5 linked regions of the Bombyx mori genome follow. The protein of the gene in region 1 purifies or fractionates together with the protein of each later gene. This does not show direct contact. Links are inferred from orthologs where the notes say so. Each region holds a gene or a part of one and is shown in the gene's direction. Other genes may lie near its edges.

The links.
Region 2: the proteins of COPZ (region 1) and COPA fractionate together in Homo sapiens (co-fractionation; 6 studies listed by BioGRID and IntAct, with this or other methods). This does not show direct contact. The link is inferred for Bombyx mori from reciprocal best matches to the Homo sapiens genes COPZ1 and COPA.
Region 3: the proteins of COPZ (region 1) and COPD fractionate together in Homo sapiens (co-fractionation; 5 studies listed by BioGRID and IntAct, with this or other methods). This does not show direct contact. The link is inferred for Bombyx mori from reciprocal best matches to the Homo sapiens genes COPZ1 and ARCN1.
Region 4: the proteins of COPZ (region 1) and COPB fractionate together in Homo sapiens (co-fractionation; 8 studies listed by BioGRID and IntAct, with this or other methods). This does not show direct contact. The link is inferred for Bombyx mori from reciprocal best matches to the Homo sapiens genes COPZ1 and COPB1.
Region 5: the proteins of COPZ (region 1) and COPB2 fractionate together in Homo sapiens (co-fractionation; 6 studies listed by BioGRID and IntAct, with this or other methods). This does not show direct contact. The link is inferred for Bombyx mori from reciprocal best matches to the Homo sapiens genes COPZ1 and COPB2.

What each region holds. Positions count from the first base shown.
Region 1 is NC_085108.1:4,792,926-4,796,046, forward strand, and holds part of COPZ (nonclathrin coat protein zeta 1-COP), read left to right. Parts: intron 1-1,057; coding exon 1,058-1,191; intron 1,192-2,499; coding exon 2,500-2,590; intron 2,591-3,121. UniProt on the Homo sapiens protein: The coatomer is a cytosolic protein complex that binds to dilysine motifs and reversibly associates with Golgi non-clathrin-coated vesicles, which further mediate biosynthetic protein transport from the ER, via the Golgi up to the trans Golgi network.
Region 2 is NC_085132.1:3,509,481-3,513,791, reverse strand, and holds the start of COPA (coatomer protein complex subunit alpha), read left to right. Parts: upstream 1-1,498; 5' UTR 1,499-1,609; coding exon 1,610-1,837; intron 1,838-3,724; coding exon 3,725-3,841; intron 3,842-4,309; coding exon 4,310-4,311. UniProt on the Homo sapiens protein: The coatomer is a cytosolic protein complex that binds to dilysine motifs and reversibly associates with Golgi non-clathrin-coated vesicles, which further mediate biosynthetic protein transport from the ER, via the Golgi up to the trans Golgi network.
Region 3 is NC_085130.1:5,914,446-5,917,377, reverse strand, and holds part of COPD (coatomer protein complex subunit delta), read left to right. Parts: intron 1-1,537; coding exon 1,538-1,688; intron 1,689-2,630; coding exon 2,631-2,742; intron 2,743-2,932. UniProt on the Homo sapiens protein: Component of the coatomer, a cytosolic protein complex that binds to dilysine motifs and reversibly associates with Golgi non-clathrin-coated vesicles, which further mediate biosynthetic protein transport from the ER, via the Golgi up to the trans Golgi network.
Region 4 is NC_085119.1:983,523-987,041, reverse strand, and holds part of COPB (coatomer protein complex subunit beta), read left to right. Parts: intron 1-654; coding exon 655-792; intron 793-865; coding exon 866-1,064; intron 1,065-1,686; coding exon 1,687-1,832; intron 1,833-2,422; coding exon 2,423-2,563; intron 2,564-3,166; coding exon 3,167-3,316; intron 3,317-3,382; coding exon 3,383-3,471; intron 3,472-3,519. UniProt on the Homo sapiens protein: The coatomer is a cytosolic protein complex that binds to dilysine motifs and reversibly associates with Golgi non-clathrin-coated vesicles, which further mediate biosynthetic protein transport from the ER, via the Golgi up to the trans Golgi network.
Region 5 is NC_085107.1:19,811,794-19,816,004, reverse strand, and holds the start of COPB2 (coatomer protein complex subunit beta 2), read left to right. Parts: upstream 1-1,403; 5' UTR 1,404-1,533; coding exon 1,534-1,536; intron 1,537-1,722; exon of another isoform or gene 1,723-1,737; coding exon of another isoform or gene 1,738-1,749; coding exon 1,750-1,908; intron 1,909-4,211. UniProt on the Homo sapiens protein: The coatomer is a cytosolic protein complex that binds to dilysine motifs and reversibly associates with Golgi non-clathrin-coated vesicles, which further mediate biosynthetic protein transport from the ER, via the Golgi up to the trans Golgi network.

The sequences.
Region 1 (3,121 bases):
GGATTGAACTGTCGATTATAAGCCCTATAGTCAAAGGCACTAACTAGTGCACTACCAAGTCAGTCACAAAGCTTTAGATACTAGAAAGTTATTAGTAAAGAAGAAAAATTTTCTTATAAGAACGCCAAAAGGTCCTCTGGACATGCAGATTTGTAATGTTTTTTTTTCATCTTCAATGTCTACAATCCTGTACTTTTATTAGATACGTTGAAATTCATTACGTAGGCAATAAGAGCATGACTCCAGCGAGCCATCTACTCTAAATTAAAGGTTTGTCATTGAACTACATGACGGTCAGCTTTTTTGTCTATTTATTTATTTATTTATTTATAACTTCTTATACTATAAAGTATAAAGGCGGACTTAATGCCATAGGCATTCTCTAACAGTCTATTTCTACATTCTCTAACAACCTTAGGGGAGTGCAAAGATGAAGCTTGGTAGGTGTAGTGTGAAGGTGATATTACTGAAACATAATAATATGTGTGTATATAACATACATAATATTTATAGATACAAATACTCGTACTTAAATAAATACATATACATAAATATATAGATATACATAAATATATACATATACGTATCATAAATATATACATATAAAAACATATATAAACAAATATTATATTATATTCAGTATTTCTTCAGGTTTAAATGTGTAATAACGGTGGTTTATTAACTGTTTAATATCTGTGAAAGTGCACAAATGCGGGAAAATGAAACAAAGCCGCTGTATGTAACTTCTTGGGATCCTCCAAATAGTCCACTGAAAAAATCTCAGTAAATGACTACCATTTTACTTAGAATATTTCATCCCATATCATTTCATTTAATTTCATCCCAGTTGATTAATGTCTCAAATTAATCATCTTAATTTCATTTCATTTCACTCCATATTATCATTTTTCATAAAAATAAGAATATAAATTAAAATAAGACATGACTTAAAGGTCTTAGTTCCCAGGTCATAAAATCCCTTATTAAAACATGACGGTCAGTCCATGGTATTAAGTTTAAGTTGCATATAAATTACTAAGTGACGTTATCTTTTCAGTTGATCCTTCAATCAGTATTGAATGCACTCTACGAGTCTGTTAGTTTGCTGCTAAGAAGGAACATGGAGCGGAGGGTCCTCATGGAGAACTTGGATGCTGTTATGCTTGCCTTCGATGAGATCTGCGACGGCGGGTATGTTGTAATTATTATTACTAGTGGTCGCCCGGTAGGCGAAATTCGACTATAATTAATTTAAATTATACCCTGCCTATTGCCGCCCTATCGCCCTGCCCATTTCTGCCGTGTAGCAGTAATGCGTTTCGGTATGAAGGGTGGGGCAGCCGTTGTAACTATACTGAGACCTTAGAACTTATATCTCAAGGTGGGTAGCGTCATTTTCGCTGTAGACGTGATGATTATAACAGAAATGATGATTATAGAAATGTGACCACAAAACCATAATAATAACGTTCAAACTTTTTATTTATTTATTGCTTAAGTGGGTGAACGAGATCACGGTCCACCTGGTGTTAAGTGGTTACTGGAGCCCATAGACATCTACAACGTAAATGCGCCCCCCACCTTGAGATATAAGTTCTAAGGCCTCAGTATAGTTACAACGGCTGCCCCACCCTTCAAACCGAAACGCATTACTGCTTCACGGCAGAAATAGGCAGGGTGGTGGTACCTACCCGTGCGGACTCACAAGAGGTCCTACCACCAGTAAAAGTCCAGTCTGTTTCACCGTACAAACTGGAATGCATGTCTGCTTCAGAGCAAGATGGGGTATACAAATGCATGTATCCCTTAATGATAATGCATAATTAATTCACACTAAAAAAGGGCGATAAATTTTCATAGTGCACAATAATAAATATTGTTACGCGGTGGTGCTCGGGATAAATATAACTTCTACCGAAGTAAAAATTAAAACTGACTTACAACACTTAAAGAAAACATTACAATTCGTAATTCACTTCAGGTTATCCGTTCGCTGTTTCGCTTCGAGTAGTACCGATTACTATCTGCTTTCGTGTATCTCTGCAAGGCTTTTATAGTCGATACGACATCTACAGAATTCAGTAGTTTCGATGTGTGTTTCCCCTATTTGATAATAGATGGCGTTGCACTTCTCGAGCGTTCTCGATTTTACTAGTTCTTTTGATATTCGTTTCTGCTGGGCGGCGATAGATGGCGTTACTTTTACAGGCGTAATAATATGTAAATTTTTTACTGGTGGCAGGACCTCTTGTGAGTCCGCGCGGGTAGGTACCACCACCTCGCCTATTTCTGCCGTGAAGCAGTAATGCGTTTCGGTTTGAAGGGTGGGGCAGCCGTTATAACTATACTGAGACCTTAGAACTTATATCTCAAGGTGGGTGGCGCATTTACGTTGTAGATGTCTATGGGCTCCAGTAACCACTTAACGCAAGGTGGGCTGTGAACTCGTCCACCCATAAAAGCAATAAAAAAAAAAAAAATTGTTTTGTGTAATTACAGTGTGATATTGGATGCTGATCCCACGTCGATCGTAAGCCGGGCAGCGCTGCGCACCGAGGACGTGCCCCTGGGAGAGCAAACAGTGGCCCAGGTAATTGATCAAGTCAATAGATTGTTTTGGTAGCGTACAGCTTGTTGCCGCGATGGATTGTTGTATACTCGAACCGAGGACGGTATCACATCAAATCTAATCACGCATGCGTTGCGTTCGAAGCCACTTTTATTTATTTTTTATATTATTAAAATTTATTAGGCACACAGTACACATCACAAGCTAAAAAAAGAAACATGTGTGCAATTCACACGTGTCAGAAGTGAAACCTTCAAAAATTAAAATACAATTACTTATCGTAAATGTCTAAGTATATGTAAAATTTTGTCATTAGTAAATAATTGTAAATCATCTTTTATAGTATGAGGTAGCGCCCTCTGTGAATCGATATTTTAACGTCACGTATAATCCTAAATTGAAATTCACTACGAGAGTTTTCATACGCACGTTAGTATTAAAAAATCGCATAGATGGCGCTGTATAAAAAATTTTCGACACTTCCGTTGCGTACCTGCGTGACGTTACATCTGTAAAAATTTTACCCTCATGCACCGAAAGAAGTTTCACTTC
Region 2 (4,311 bases), on another chromosome or scaffold:
GTGTGAGCCAGCACAAGCAAATACCAGTACTCTGCCTATTCAATTATTCTGTCACGAAGCAGTAATGCATTTCTGTATGAAGGATGGGGCAGCTGTTGTACTTTAATACTGAGACTTAAAACTCATATCTAGGGATCGATAGTGGCATTAAGGTTACGATGTCTCTGGGTTTTATTTCAGAAAGAAATTATAAAGGACTTGGCTTCTGCCTTAATGATTTTTTTATTTCAGGATATAATATAAATCATATAAGACCTGGCTTCGGCTTTTTTGAAAATTCATTTTAGAAATTATATACAACACACAAGGCTGTATGGGTTTAGATCCCCTTGCCTTTCCTAATAAGGAAAAATTGAATCAAAAAATGTCTATGGGCTCTAGTGACCACTTAATACCAGATGGGCCTGGACTTTGTCTCGTCTCTCACTCGTCTAAATAATTAAAAAATATTGTTGCAGTAAGCAATGGCGTTGCTGGCTTTCCACTTTACTACTTTGACTACTTACCAGGTGGAACGTGTGCTCGTCTCCCTACCACGGAAAAAACGTTAGTAAGGAAGAGGGTACCACCACCACTACCACCAGTATTTGTTTTTCCTCTATTATTTCATCTACTAAAATATCATAATCGACTTGGATGATGCAAAATATTCTCACTTATTTTCGTAAAATCTTACTAGCCATAATAATATATTTTATCTACATAATTAATTACTGATTATTGTTAGTGCTACGATATGGTTCGTGAAAATCTATGTTATACTGACATCTAAGTTGAAATAAATGATTTTTGAACCTTATTTATATTATTAACTCAAAACACTCACAGCTAACATCGTCTTGGCTTATAGGATAAGACATCCGGTGCATTCGTGTTGAGCGATGCACCGGTGTTTCGAATCCCAGGCGGGTACCAATTTTACTAATGAAATACGTACTCAACAAATGTTCACGATTGACTCCCAAGGTGGAGGTATAACATCGTGTAATAAAAATCAAACCCGCAAAATTATAATTTGCGTAATTACTGGTGGTAGGGTCTCTTGTGAGTCCGCGCGGGTAGGTACCAGCATTAGTTCTGCCGTGAAGCAGTAATGCGTTTCGGATTGAAGGGTGGGGCAGCCGTTGTAACTATACTTGAGACCTTAGAACTTATATCTCAAAATGGATGGCGCATTTACGTTGTAGATGTCTATGGGCTCCAGTAACCACTTAACACCAGGTGGGCTGTAAGCTCCTCCACTCATCTAAGCAATAAATAAAAAAGCTAACCATTGATTCATCAGGAAAGATAAATTTAACTCAACCAGGCTACCCGACTCTCAAAGTTTTTTAATAACGCTAATTATACTGATGATTACAACCATTAAGAAGATACGAAATATGTGATTTTAATTGGTGTGTTTATTCGTTTCCATTCAAAATTAGTTAATGATTTGATCAAATTAACATCGATAGTTTTGTTCAGATTTGTCGATATTTTCAATTTTGATCAATTACAAGCTCAGCACTATTCTGTGTTGGACGTGTCACGTCAGCCGGTTGGCTGTCATTGCGCTTGTTTTAATTTTTGTAGTTTTTCGTATTATTTCAGCGGTGTTTGAATCAAAATGTTAAAAAAATTCGAGACGAAGTCTGCGCGGGTGAAAGGCATATCGTTTCATGCTAAGCGACCATGGGTGCTGGCTAGTTTGCACAATGGTGTGATTCAACTTTGGGATTATCGTATGTGTACATTACTTGAGAAATTTGATGAACATGATGGTCCAGTACGTGGAATTTGCTTCCATATTCAACAGCCTCTTTTCGTGTCGGGCGGAGATGACTACAAGATTAAGGTATAAGCCCTAATATGCCGTTAGTTCTTTTGCTAGTATAATTACAATTATTGTTGATATTAATCTGTCATGCTTTTGACACGTATTCCGGGCATGGAATGTTTGGTTTTGTGCATCTTTGCGAAGGCGAAATGTTTTTAGATTTTAATAATTTTATAAGTAAGCTAAGATTAAGACAATGTTATTTTGTTTAGTTTCAAAATTTAAAGCACTGATATTACAAATTTTAACCATTTTTGTTTTGATAAAGAACTGATTCGTTAACAAAACTTAGGTTTTTATAATTTCAAGTATTTTGTCCAAATGCATGCAACAAAAATGCCCTTCTAAAGCTAGTACTGTATAATGCGTTTATTGAAGTTTGAACACAATGTGAATGCTACTCACTGCCTATATTTATATACTAGAACCAAAGTTTCTATTTTATTAGAATTATGTGGAATATTTTTGGTAAAAACAAATTTTAAGAATTTAAACTAGCAGTAAGCCGACTTCACCTAATAGGTGTGTGGCTCTAATAAAGAATAAATAAATGAAAAAGGTAGCAGTAGATGGGAGAGTGGTACCATATTATCTCATCTCATGTGAGCTTGCAACTCTTCATAAATACTGAAAATAGGAATTAGAGAAAGATTTAGGTTGGAAAATAAGCCGAGGTTATTATTACAGTGGATAAGCTATTGCCATTCATTATTAAGATCTGAGATAGGGTTTCGTTGAGTGGATTTGAATTGTTGGATGTGTTTATTGTTTGCATAAATAAATAAATAAGTACACCATGGAGAAGTACTTGAAGTAGTTTGAAAAGGTTGTAGTCTAAAATAAAAGTAATTGCACATAATTACACAACAATTAAAATATTTTTGTCATTAAAGATTTCATTCTTTTACTAACTAAATTCTACTTTATTTATTTTTTATTATGTGTTTTAAAATAACTCACAGCAAACATTTTTTGTAGTGACTACATCTACATAGGATACTAGAGTATTAGAAGCATAGATGTTAAAACATGCATCACTTACGGTAGAATATGAGTTTGAAGTATCAATTAAATTATTGTAAAGGCTGTTTTACTGTTGTGTCAGAACGCATAACTGGTCTGTCCCAAAAATAGTCAGTTGTATATAATCATGCACTTTAATGATGTGTTTTAGCACCTGTAAGACTATGTAGTGTAGAGCTATGGAATTGAAAATAATTGAAATCATTTAAATTTGTATTATATATTGTGTTTGAAAAAAATTAATAATGCTGAGACTTTCAAGGAAGCCATACTTGCAGTATATATAACTATAAAGGTTTTATTTACATCTCAATTTACTTTTCATAATTCACAAAAGGTTTTTTAAATACATTTAAACCTTAAAAAGCTAAGCTTTAGCCGGAATGGTTTGACTATTTTGTAATGGCTTTTGATTTCTTTTCAACAAGATCCCACTAAACGTTCAACTACTACCTGTTCATAGATTTAAGAAAACTGTTAAGGAATGTTTGTGCAACAAGGCATATTATAAAGTTAAGGATTATTTACTAGATGGCACTACGTGGGAATGAGGCGCTCGCTCCTGGCCTTTTCATTTTTCATTATTAATATTATTATTTTTATTGTATTTTTTTGACTTGTTTTTTCTTTTATTGTGAATATTTCTATTTATTTAAAAAAAAAGAAAATATTTGAGAAAAAACAAAAAAAAAAGCCCGCTGAGTTTGTTTCGCCGGTTTTTCTCAGGACTGTGGCTTTTTTTGGAACTGGTGGTAGAGTTAACATTGTTATTTGTATTTTGACATTCAACAAGTGTGTCATACTGACATCTAAGTTGAAATAAATGATTTTGAATTTGAATTTGAATTTGATTATGATATTAACACAATTTTTTTTTATCAGGTCTGGAACTACAAACAAAGAAGATGTCTATTCACATTGCTTGGTCACTTGGATTATATACGTACAACATTCTTCCATCATGAATACCCATGGATTTTAAGTGCATCTGATGATCAGGTAACTAAATTCATTGTTTAAAGCATATCTGTTTAAGTAAGCATTTCATAAACAGGCTAAATTTTACTAAATAGATTGTACATTTTTTTGCAACTAAATTATTTAGGCATCATAATTTTTACGATGAAACTAATGAACTTGCTACTTAATTAATGAATGAATTAAGTGTAATTTGTATAATAAATAATATATTCATTTTTATTTACTAGAAGATATTCAAATATGTACATACAATACAATAATCCACCATTGTAGGTAACCAGATCATGGGCTGCATACAAAATTATTAACAGCTATCAAATTACTTTTGTTGCATTAGTGCATCAGTAGTATTTGTAGAGGTAATAAAAAAAAATTAACTTTTGTAGTTTAATCTCATGTATATTATTGTGATTATGTTATGTAATTTTAAAACATTGTGCTGTCTATTTAGTAGCCTAAAAAAATCAATTTATTGCTTTATTTCAGAC
Region 3 (2,932 bases), on another chromosome or scaffold:
GAAGATGATGCTTAGTTTTTTAGGGGATTTTATGACCTGGTAACTAAGACCTTTAAGTCATGTCTTATTTTAATTTATATTCTCACTTTTATGTAAAGTTATAATATGGAGTGAAATTAAATTAAATGAAGATGATTAATTTGAGACATTAATCAACTGGGTTGAAATTAAATTAAATGAGATGATATGGAATGAAATATAATATCAGTAAAATGGTGGTCATTTACTGAGATTTTTTCAGTGGACTTTTTGAAGGATCCCGAGAAGTTACGTCCAGCGGCTTTGTTTCATTTTCCCATATTTGTGCACTTTCACAGATATCAAGCAGTTAATAAACCACTGTTATTATACATTTTAACCTGAAGAAACACTAAATAGTCAAAATAAATAAATGACAATTGGTCATTCGTGTCCGAGCCGTTGCACAGAACGGATCTCTCTGGAACGTTGTTATGCTTCTCGTGAAATATACGCTGCTCACCAAGTTCTCGTGAAGTTTTGTTTCGGAAGCCCAAACATGAGTCATCGTCGAGAAAGTAATAACTGTGACGTCATATAATTAACCGGACCATAATTATAGCAGCATTAAACAATAAAGTACGATTAATCCCATGATCAACACATAATCAAATACACAACAACAGTGATTATAGTGTGATTGATCAAACCGGGACTTAAACAACACTAACTAAACCCGTGATTATAGTGTGATTGATCAAACCGGGACTTAAACAACACTAACTAAACCCGTGATTATAGTGTGATTGATCAAACCGGGACTTAAACAACACTAACTAAACCCGTGATTATAGTGTGATTGATCAAACCGGGACTTAAACAACACTAACTAAACCCGTGATTATAGTGTGATTGATCAAACCGGGACTTAAACAACACTAACTAAACCCGTGATTATAGTGTGATTGATCAAACCGGGACTTAAACAACACTAACTAAACCCGTGATTATAGTGTGATTGACCAAACCGGGACTTAAACAACACTAACTAAACCCGTGATTATAGTGTGATTGATCAAACCGGGACTTAAACAACACTAACTAAACCCGTGATTATAGTGTGATTGATCAAACCGGGACTTAAACAACACTAACTAAACCCGTGATTATAGTGTGATTGATCAAACCGGGACTTAAACAACACTAACTAACCCGTGATTAAAGTGTGATTGATAAGTAAAGTAATTATAGCAATTTTGCTAAACCGCGATTAAAGCTCGTTCAATAGTACTTTTTTTTTATTGCTTTGGTGGGTGGACGAGCTAACAGCCCACCTGGTATAAAGTGGTTACTGGAGCCCATAGACGTAAATGCTCCATCCACCTTGAGATATAATTTCTAAGATCTCAGTATAGTTACAACGGCTGCCCTACACCCTTCAAACCGAAACCCATTACTGCTTCATGGCAGAAATAGGCGGGGTGGTGGTACCTACCCGTGCGGACTCACAAGAGGTCCTACCACCAGAAATAATCACCAGTGATTAAATCAGCATTAATTAAACGACGATTTATCTCAGACCCATCCAAACGTGGACAAAGAAGCGTTCCGCTCGACCGGCGTGATTGGGCTGAAGCAGGCTCAACGCCCCTTCCCGATGCACAGCGACGTCGGAGTCCTCAAGTGGAGGCTGGCCACTACCAACGATGACAAGCTGGCTCCGCTTTCCGGTGAGACATGTGATACGTGACCTTTTGAGCGCGAACCGTCGATATATCGACGCTCTATTAATACGTATGAAGTATGGAGCGTCGAAATATCGACGTTTTGCACAGTTTGATTATAAGTAAAATAGGACCTGTATGACGTTTTTATTCGTTTGAATTTAGCATTGATTCTTGTATAATTTTTTAAGGTACTTTTTTTCAGAAATTCTTTAGCAATTTCTGCAGAAATTATTATTTATTTTTGCAGTAAAAGGGTTAAAGATAACTGTGGTAACTTTAAAGACACGACCGAGTTCGTTGCCCCCTGAATTCGGTCCGCTCATAATTTGAGAAGTGTTTGTCGATTTTCACAGCGAACTTTTGTTTGGTCTGAAATAAAGAAAATCCTTTGTCTGTTTGCTCGCGTAGACACAACCCACTGAGTTTCTCGCCCGGAACTTCTCAGTGCGTCGCGATTCTGATCTGGTGGTGGATTCAGCGAAGCTCTTGCTAGGGCCAATGTTAGAAAACTGACCTACCAGCTAGAGCACAACAAGAATAGCATTTAGGCTACCATCGACATTTAGTTTTAATTTTTTTTATTGCATAGTGGACGAGCTCACAGCCCACCTGGTGTTAAGTGGTTACTGGAGCCCATAGACATTCACAACGTAAATGCGCCAACCACCTCGAGATATAAGTTCTAAGGTCTCAAGTATAGTTACAACGGCTGCCCCGCCCTTCAAACCGAAACGCATTACTGCTTTAGAAACAGGCAGGGCGGTGGTACCCGCGCGGACTCACAGGAGGTCCTACCACCAGTAATAAATTAGGAGTAGTTATTGACGCTTCAATATTAAGCGCGTATACGGCTTTTGGTATTTTCTGTATTCTGAGCGTTTAGGCTAACCGCGATTTAGTAGAGAAATATAGATTTAGGTATTAACAGACATTTTTTTCTTCCAGTAAACTGTTGGCCGTCCGAAGGCGTCAACGGAGGATGTGACGTCAATATCGAATACGAGCTGGAGCAGGATCACCTGGTGTTGACAGATGTCAATATCACCATACCGCTTCCGTGAGTGCTTTGACAACCATTGCGCGTTCATAGTATCATTAGGGCCGCCAACGTCATGTACCTACTTACTCATATTTATTTATTTATTTATCAGTCAACCAGTCAACCAAAAGTAGTGCAGAGTAAATAGTGGTAGGTGCAATGAAATTTATATTAAGTTGAAAATACATACAGAAAAAAGTATATACAT
Region 4 (3,519 bases), on another chromosome or scaffold:
CTTCAAAGAATACGGTTCAAAACCTGCATTAAATAAAGGTTAATAGTTAACCTGTTATTTATCTAAGATGTCGTTCCGAAGAGTTTTGTGACTGCCGATGGAATACAAAGTCAATAATTCGTTTTTCTGATTTACCAATCATTGTCCAAAAGTCAGATTGCCGCCTTTGATAATAGTCGACTCATATGTTTTAATGTAGTAACATTAGTAAATAATTCTAGTGACCATAAATTGAAGGATATATTTTGCTCATAAATGTCAAAACAGATAGTAATTCTTGGATTAGTTGCGGAGGATAGCTACATAGTTGTAGGCAGCTGAGACAAACTTGGGCAGAGTTATACAACTTGGAAATATATGCACTCTCAAAGTAGGATGGTGTCTGAATCTATAAAGAATGTCTTCATAGATGCTTACTATCATTACTGAATCGAGAGCATAATAAAGGACTAAATAAATAATTAAAAACGAAAAGATGTAATTTAACAATGTAAAGAATTTTGAGATAAAATGTTTTTTTATGAATAATAATAATAATTAAAAAATCGGTATAGAAAAGAAAATATTCAAAATTTACAAAATTTGTGACATAAGGTCGAATTTAGCTTAAGTAAGTGAATATCGAAGTGGCAGTAACTATCTGTACGGGTGCAGGTCTGCCACACGAACCCGTCGGAGCGCTCCCGGTTCATCCGCACCGTGTACGGGCTGCTCAACGCCAGCAGCGCCGCCGTCCGGTACGAGGCCGCCGGCACGCTCGTCACCCTCTCCAACGCGCCCGCCGCCATCAAGGTGCGTCGACCCCCCGCCGTCCCCCCAACGCCCCCCACCGTCCCCCCACCCGACTGACCGTGCCCGTGCGCAGGCGGCGGCGGCGTGCTACATCGACCTCGTGGTGAAGGAGAGCGACAACAACGTGAAGCTGATTGTCGTGGGGCGGCTGGGAGCCCTGCGCGCCGAGGGCGGGGAGGGGGCCGCGCGCGCCCTGCCCGACCTGGCCATGGACGTGCTGCGCGTGCTCGCCTCCTCCGACCTCGACGTCAGGAAGCACACGCTGCAGCTCGGTAATGTATCCGCACTAGACATGCCACGAATATTCGGCTACTATTTGGTATTCGGTCACTTTGTTTGGTATTCGGTATTCCGCCGAATAATAGGCACTATTCGGCCGAATACCGAAAAATGACGGGCAGGTCTCAAATCATGTTTCGTCAAAAAATTCGAATCATAATTTTGTTTATTATTTTCACTAGAAATCTCATAATATTCTCATATGGCCGATTTTCTATTAATTGGTGTCACTTTTTAATGAACAAACAATTGAAAAAGAACTAACGAACAAACTTTGCTACAAAATCGTAATGTTTTATTTAATTTGTTATTTATATTGATCTGACAAAGCGTGCCGTGACGTGATTTACTCGCAACTGAAACAGTCAAATGGCCCGACACCGCCCGCGCACGGTGGAGACAGGTCCCGATCTGTCCTATTATTCTTTACGCGCTCGACTAACTAGCATGTACTTTGTGCCGAATGTTCGGCGCTTCGGCCGACAGCGTTGCCGAATATTCGGTATTCGGTATTCGGCCAAATCACTATTCGTGGCAACTCTAACCCGCACTCAGCGTCTCGCACTACACCTTGCTACAGTCCCATTGATGTATCGGTGTTGTATGATGACGCAGCGCTGGAGCTGGTGAGCGCGCGGCACGCGGAGGAGCTGGTGCAGGTGCTGCGCAAGGAGGCGGCGCGGGCGCACTCCGCCGACCACGACGACGCCGCCAAGTACCGCCAGCTGCTCGTGCGCGCCATGCACAAGGCCGCGCTCAAGGTTCGCTCCCTTCCACTTCTAACGATGCCGTTCATACTTCATTCGTAAATATTATTTAATACAAGTGCGTCGCAGAAAAAAAGGATTGTGTGGTTTTATGAAACCACAGTAAAAGTGAAACTTTTTTCACATTATAGACATTTTACTCTGACTAACAAAATTTACATTAAACACTGACAAAAACAAACAAAATAGCGTGGAGCACTGGCACAAATCAGTAATAGTTATATACTACACGGTCAGCTGCTGCGAACTATAGGCGCCGCCATATTGGCCTTGGCTGCTCTGACGAGCGCCTTGCACTTTCTCCCTACTCCGCGGCTGACCGTCACGCGACATGCAACACACAGACGAAAAAGTTTGAGACGATATAATAAAAGTTTCACTTTAATTCAATTAATTTCATTTTGCTCTTTAGTTCTGATTCATGTGACTTTGCCGGAGTTCGAATCCCACAGACAAGTACACATATGTCTAATGAAGTACGTAGTTATCTCATGTTCACGAATGACTGAACTGTGACGGAATAACATTGTGTCATAAAGCTGGGTAGTGGTGGGCGTGCTGCGTAAGTCCGTTGCGTCCCGCAGTTCCCGGAGGTGGCTGGCAGCGTGGCGCCGGCGCTGCTGGAGCTGCTGGGCGAGGGCAGCGAGGCGGCGGCGCACGACGTGCTGCTGTTCCTGCGCCACGCGCTGCACGCCTTCCCCGACCTCAGGGACCACATCTACCAGGTTACTCCCCGCCCCGTACTGCTCAACTGGACGAGCACTACGGCTCTTCGCCTTATATTTTGTTCACCCATTTTGTTGTATTTGGGTCCTTGGGTTTGTAGATGGGTCGGTGACCCCACGAGGAGGAAGAGTCGTTTTGACTTTAGATATTGTTTTAATAGAAAAATACCCATCGAAAACAATTGCACCTACATGGCTTGGTAAAACATGACCACTGGCCACGGGGTACTAGGTGGCGAGTAGTGTGATGGGAGAATACAGCTTTCGGTTAGTTCTAGATACAGACCATATTCTATGAATGGTCCTGTGTAGTAAGTACACTGGGATTCATGTCTTCGAAGTCCAGGCCGCTGCCTACCGTTAAATACTTTCCGCAAGTTTCGTTTGAAGAAGGACATGTCATAGCGCTCGGGAAGCACCGTGGAGGGGAGCTCGTTGCCGGATGGCACGTGGCAAAAAATATCTCTGGAAACGCACTGGATGAACGCAGCGGTTATAGGTTCAATAGTTCTGCAAAATGTATTTGTTTATATTAGTCGATCCAAGATATCATAACGTTGTGATGCCGAGACAGCACACACTACAGCGCGCCTCGTGTCGCAGAAACTGGTGGAGTCCGTGCGCAGCGTGCGCGTGGGCAGGCCGGCCCGCGCCGCGCTGTGGCTGCTCGCGCAGTTCGCCGACACGCCGGGCCGCGCGCGCGCCGCGCTGCACGTGCTCGCCGACGTCATCGAGGGCGCCGCCGACACGCAGGTAGTGACGTCACACCCGCCACCACAGCGCCACAAGCGGACCCGACTCATCTCTGTGTGCTTGTAGCAGCCGGAGAGCGGGCCGGCCGCGGCGCCGCGCCGCCTCGTCACCAGCGACGGCACCTACGCCACGCAGTCCGCCTTCAACCTGCCCGCGTGAGTGCCGCGACGGCCCATACTTGTTATTTGTAGTGTAATGATTGT
Region 5 (4,211 bases), on another chromosome or scaffold:
TAATCGGCGCTCATCTCTGCGCGGTATAAATACAAACAGGCTAATGGATAGGACATTGTTAGTGATATCTGCAACCCATTGACGTTAGCGTAGCGTTTGAATTTTTATTTATTGCTTCGTTGGGTGAACGAGCTCACGGCCCAACTGATTTTAAGTGGTGGCCGGAGCCCCTAGATGTTACAACGTAAATGCCCCCACGTGCAACCCACCTTGGGACATGAGTTGTAAGGTCTCACTTTAAAAGTACAACGGCTGCCCCACCCTTCAAACCGAAACGCATTACTGCTTCACGGCAGAAATAGACAAGGTGGTGGTGCCTACCCGTGCGAACTCATAAGACGTCCTACCACCAGAATGTCCTAATAGGTGCCTTATTTATGTGAACCCGGTGCCCAACATGAGCTATGAGACAAAAGTATTTTAAACTCGTGGTCATGATACGCGCTAACACCAGTAAGAGGGACGGCACGAAGAAGGTGCCACCATGGAAGCAGAGTATTTACTTTGTATTAAATTTATTAATTCAGTCCACGATTGTGTTTGTCAAATGAAGTCATTTAAAAATGGCGTTACTGTAGCACAACTTCTAAATTAAAAAGGAAAGGCAAAGGTTTTATTATTATTAATAATATGCGATTTTTAAAATATAGATTTCATAACAAACGTATTTTTTTTTCTCTTAGGTACTATAATAACCATACATAATATTTATATCTTTATGATTTACGACTTCTCATAACTTTTTCATTAATTTCTATAACCAATCTCAATCTGTTTGGAAACTGCGTTCCTGAAATTTTTTGGCCATTGTTAGGAAGCAATCTTCCTTCTATTTTGAACAATTTTGTACTGGAAGAGTAAAAACCCATATGAGAGAATTTTCCTTTAAACTGTTTTTATGGGGAGATAATGTAACAGGAAGTAAAATGACCAAATTCACGTACTTATTTTCCAAACCAGAACATCCGAAAGAATGTTATCACGACTATTATTTTATGCTTTGGTAAGGAGTGGACGGCGAATAGTATGATTATTTTTATTGTTTAGCAATTATTCTTATTTACGTTACGTAATTTATGAGTATAAATTTACCTTCTAAAAAAGAAGATAATAACCTCTCAATTTCAAAATTTAGTTAAATGTAATTAATATTAATTTCACTAGAAACAGACGTTTCTTGTTGAACTATTAAAATCTAGAAAGAAAATGGAGGTCATATTACTGATCTGTGATGAAGATGTTATAAAAAAAAAAACAAACATAGAAACATAGATTTTGTAGTATTAAACTTTTTATTACATTTTATTTTCAGTTTTGTAGATAAAATTTTATTCTTTGCAATTTTTAATTTCGTATGGCTTAAAATGTCTCGTTGGGATGCGAAAGCCGTACTTAACCGCTAAATCGTAATAATTTCGCGTATCCGATAAAACCGGTTTTGAATAAATCTAAAGTGACACGTCCACCCACCCTGTCAAACATCTACTGGTCCTGTAAATCTGCATGACGATTTTCATGTTTTAACCATTAAAAATGGTAAGAAAACAATTTTTACACTGAAATGCGTTTAAGTGATCGATATTCCAAAGACAAGATTTTCGAAAAAGTTAAAGCCACGTAATGCGCAGTCGTCATCACTTTGTCATCTTTGTAATGTCGGCACTTGCGCGATGCAAAAATTCATTTGTAATTAAGGGTAGTTTCATGTGTTGAGTGCATTTATAACGTGGTATCGCTATGTTTCTGAAGCCTCTGCGTCTGGATATCAAGAGGAAGCTGACGGCGCGGTCGGACCGAGTGAAATGCGTCGACCAGCACCCGTCGGAACCCTGGCTGCTCTGCTCCCTGTATTCAGGAGACGTTAACATATGGAATTATGAGACTCACGCTCAAATTAAGAGATTTGAGGTCAGTTTATGTACAATATATTAATACAATATAGTATTTTGGTTTCAAAATAATTTTACAAAACTCAAATTCGTAGCTTATTTTCGAAAACAACTGTACTGTTTTGAAACCATAGTACTTAAACATTAAATGCGAAATGAAACTGTAGCCGATTTAATCTTCTAGTACTTCTAAGAAAAGTGTATTAAAAAGTATCTGTGTCTGTAAAATTTTATAATTTTACTGCCACTCACTGCTAAGCTAGCTCTAATTTAAGATAATTACATAGAACTTTGATCTACAATATATGGCTATAGCCAATTTAATTTCCTCCCATAGATAATCAATATTATAATATTTCATTTATAAAACAAATGAAGGGTCCTTATCATGATTTCATTCACCACATTGCAAGTCTTGAAAGACGCGAAGTTAAAACTTATAATTTATTTTGTAAGGTATTTTATGTAAATATGATCTTTATTCATAATCACAACATATTTTTGTGCAATTTCCTTGAATAATACAATAAATAAGAAATTCACCATAAACAAACAATAAAAACATAATTATTTACTATTCTGAACGTAATCTGGACTCCTGTTTCTATGAAACTGATTTCTTATTCAAACTTAATGTGTTAAAAATATTTTCCCTAAGTAACCTGATAATAAATATATATTTCTCTGTTATCTTTACATTACAAAACAATTAAGTTTTATCTGTTAAACAGTGACTGAAATAAAAATATTACATGGAATTTATTTATTTTAAAAGCTATGACTGTTTGTTAGAGATAATAATAATATGTTCTAAATATATGCAAAATTATATAAAAAATAGTCAGTTAAATTCTAAAATGTGAATAAGATATATCTAATGGAATGTTCTTTGTAATGAAAATTAAATTATTTAATTACCATTATAAAATTTCTTCTAAAGTATGTAGTGATTCACACTTGAATGATTTAAATTAGCCATGCACCTCTTTTTTTCTGACTAGTATAATTTTTATTGTCCTGGATGGTTTTGGCTATTAATGTTTCTCACTTGTTTCAAAATAGTTACTCACTGTTTAGACTGGAGTTTATTCCTGCCTTGTGTCAGATAAGAGTATTCAGAAATACTGCTCTAATAGTAATAGACAACCAGTGTAGTTCACAATTCCGTCCACCATGAGTGAGGTCAATTGTAATAAATGTTCTGCCTTTCGAAAGAGAATCCATATTTGCTTTGCTGTAGAAATAGGTAGAATGGTGACAGTTACTTGGATGGACCTACAGTATACTACCACTAGTAGTAGTAAGTAATTACATTAATTTATGACTATGGATCTTTGTTACTCAATATTATTATTTTCTCATAGCTCAAAAATAATCTGGAATATATAGCCACTCAAGGCCAAAATATTCATTAGCCTGACAGAAATTGTTAGTTTTCCCAGATTAAGATGTACATTGTATTAAGCTCTGCCATCAAAAACCTCCACAGTGAATTTACATCTAAAGTATTTATATTTTCTCTGGTCAACAGTACGAAACTGCATGCAAAAGCCCTGTTGATATGATTTGATAACTAGTACACCCAAGATGCTTTCAGCTTAGGTTGCAAAAGGTACTGCTTGAAGAGTGCATTCTCTGTACCAAGAAGGTAATGAATATTGGTCCAAGTAAGGTAATATTATGGTTGATGCTGTATTTGAGCCTCAATGAAGACATTTAATATTTTGGGATAGTCACCACTAATCTGAGTAGGTCTCATTGACTCCCCACCTGATATTAATAGTGATGATATTCCCTCATGGAAGTGATAAATATTAATAGCTCGACAAAAATTCATACTTGCCTGTGATATTTGAACATCAGAACACTTGTATCTCTTGAAATTATTACCAGAGGCATCTCATTTAGGTTTTGATGATTATAACTTCATTTCAGCTCCTCTGTAGTTTGGTTCTTGCACAAAAATTAAACGTAAAACTGTTCAACAATAGCAGCAGCGACACAAAAAAAAACTGAAGTAAAATTAAATAGTTTTCTAATAAAAGATATCAAGAATATTCATTATTTGTCATGATGGATGAATTATAGATTAATCATATATATTAGAATCGGTTCCAACTACTATTAATTATGAACCTGAATGATGACAGTTTCACCATTGAAAGTACTCATTGAATTGAAAGAAATCCATCATTATTAAATATGTAATATTATGAAATAAATCATGGAAAACTTGCACATAAACATGCTTTTTAGCATATAAGCTTTGATTCTTAGATTATAGCTATCTAAGATTATAGCAATAGAGAATCATAAGTAACA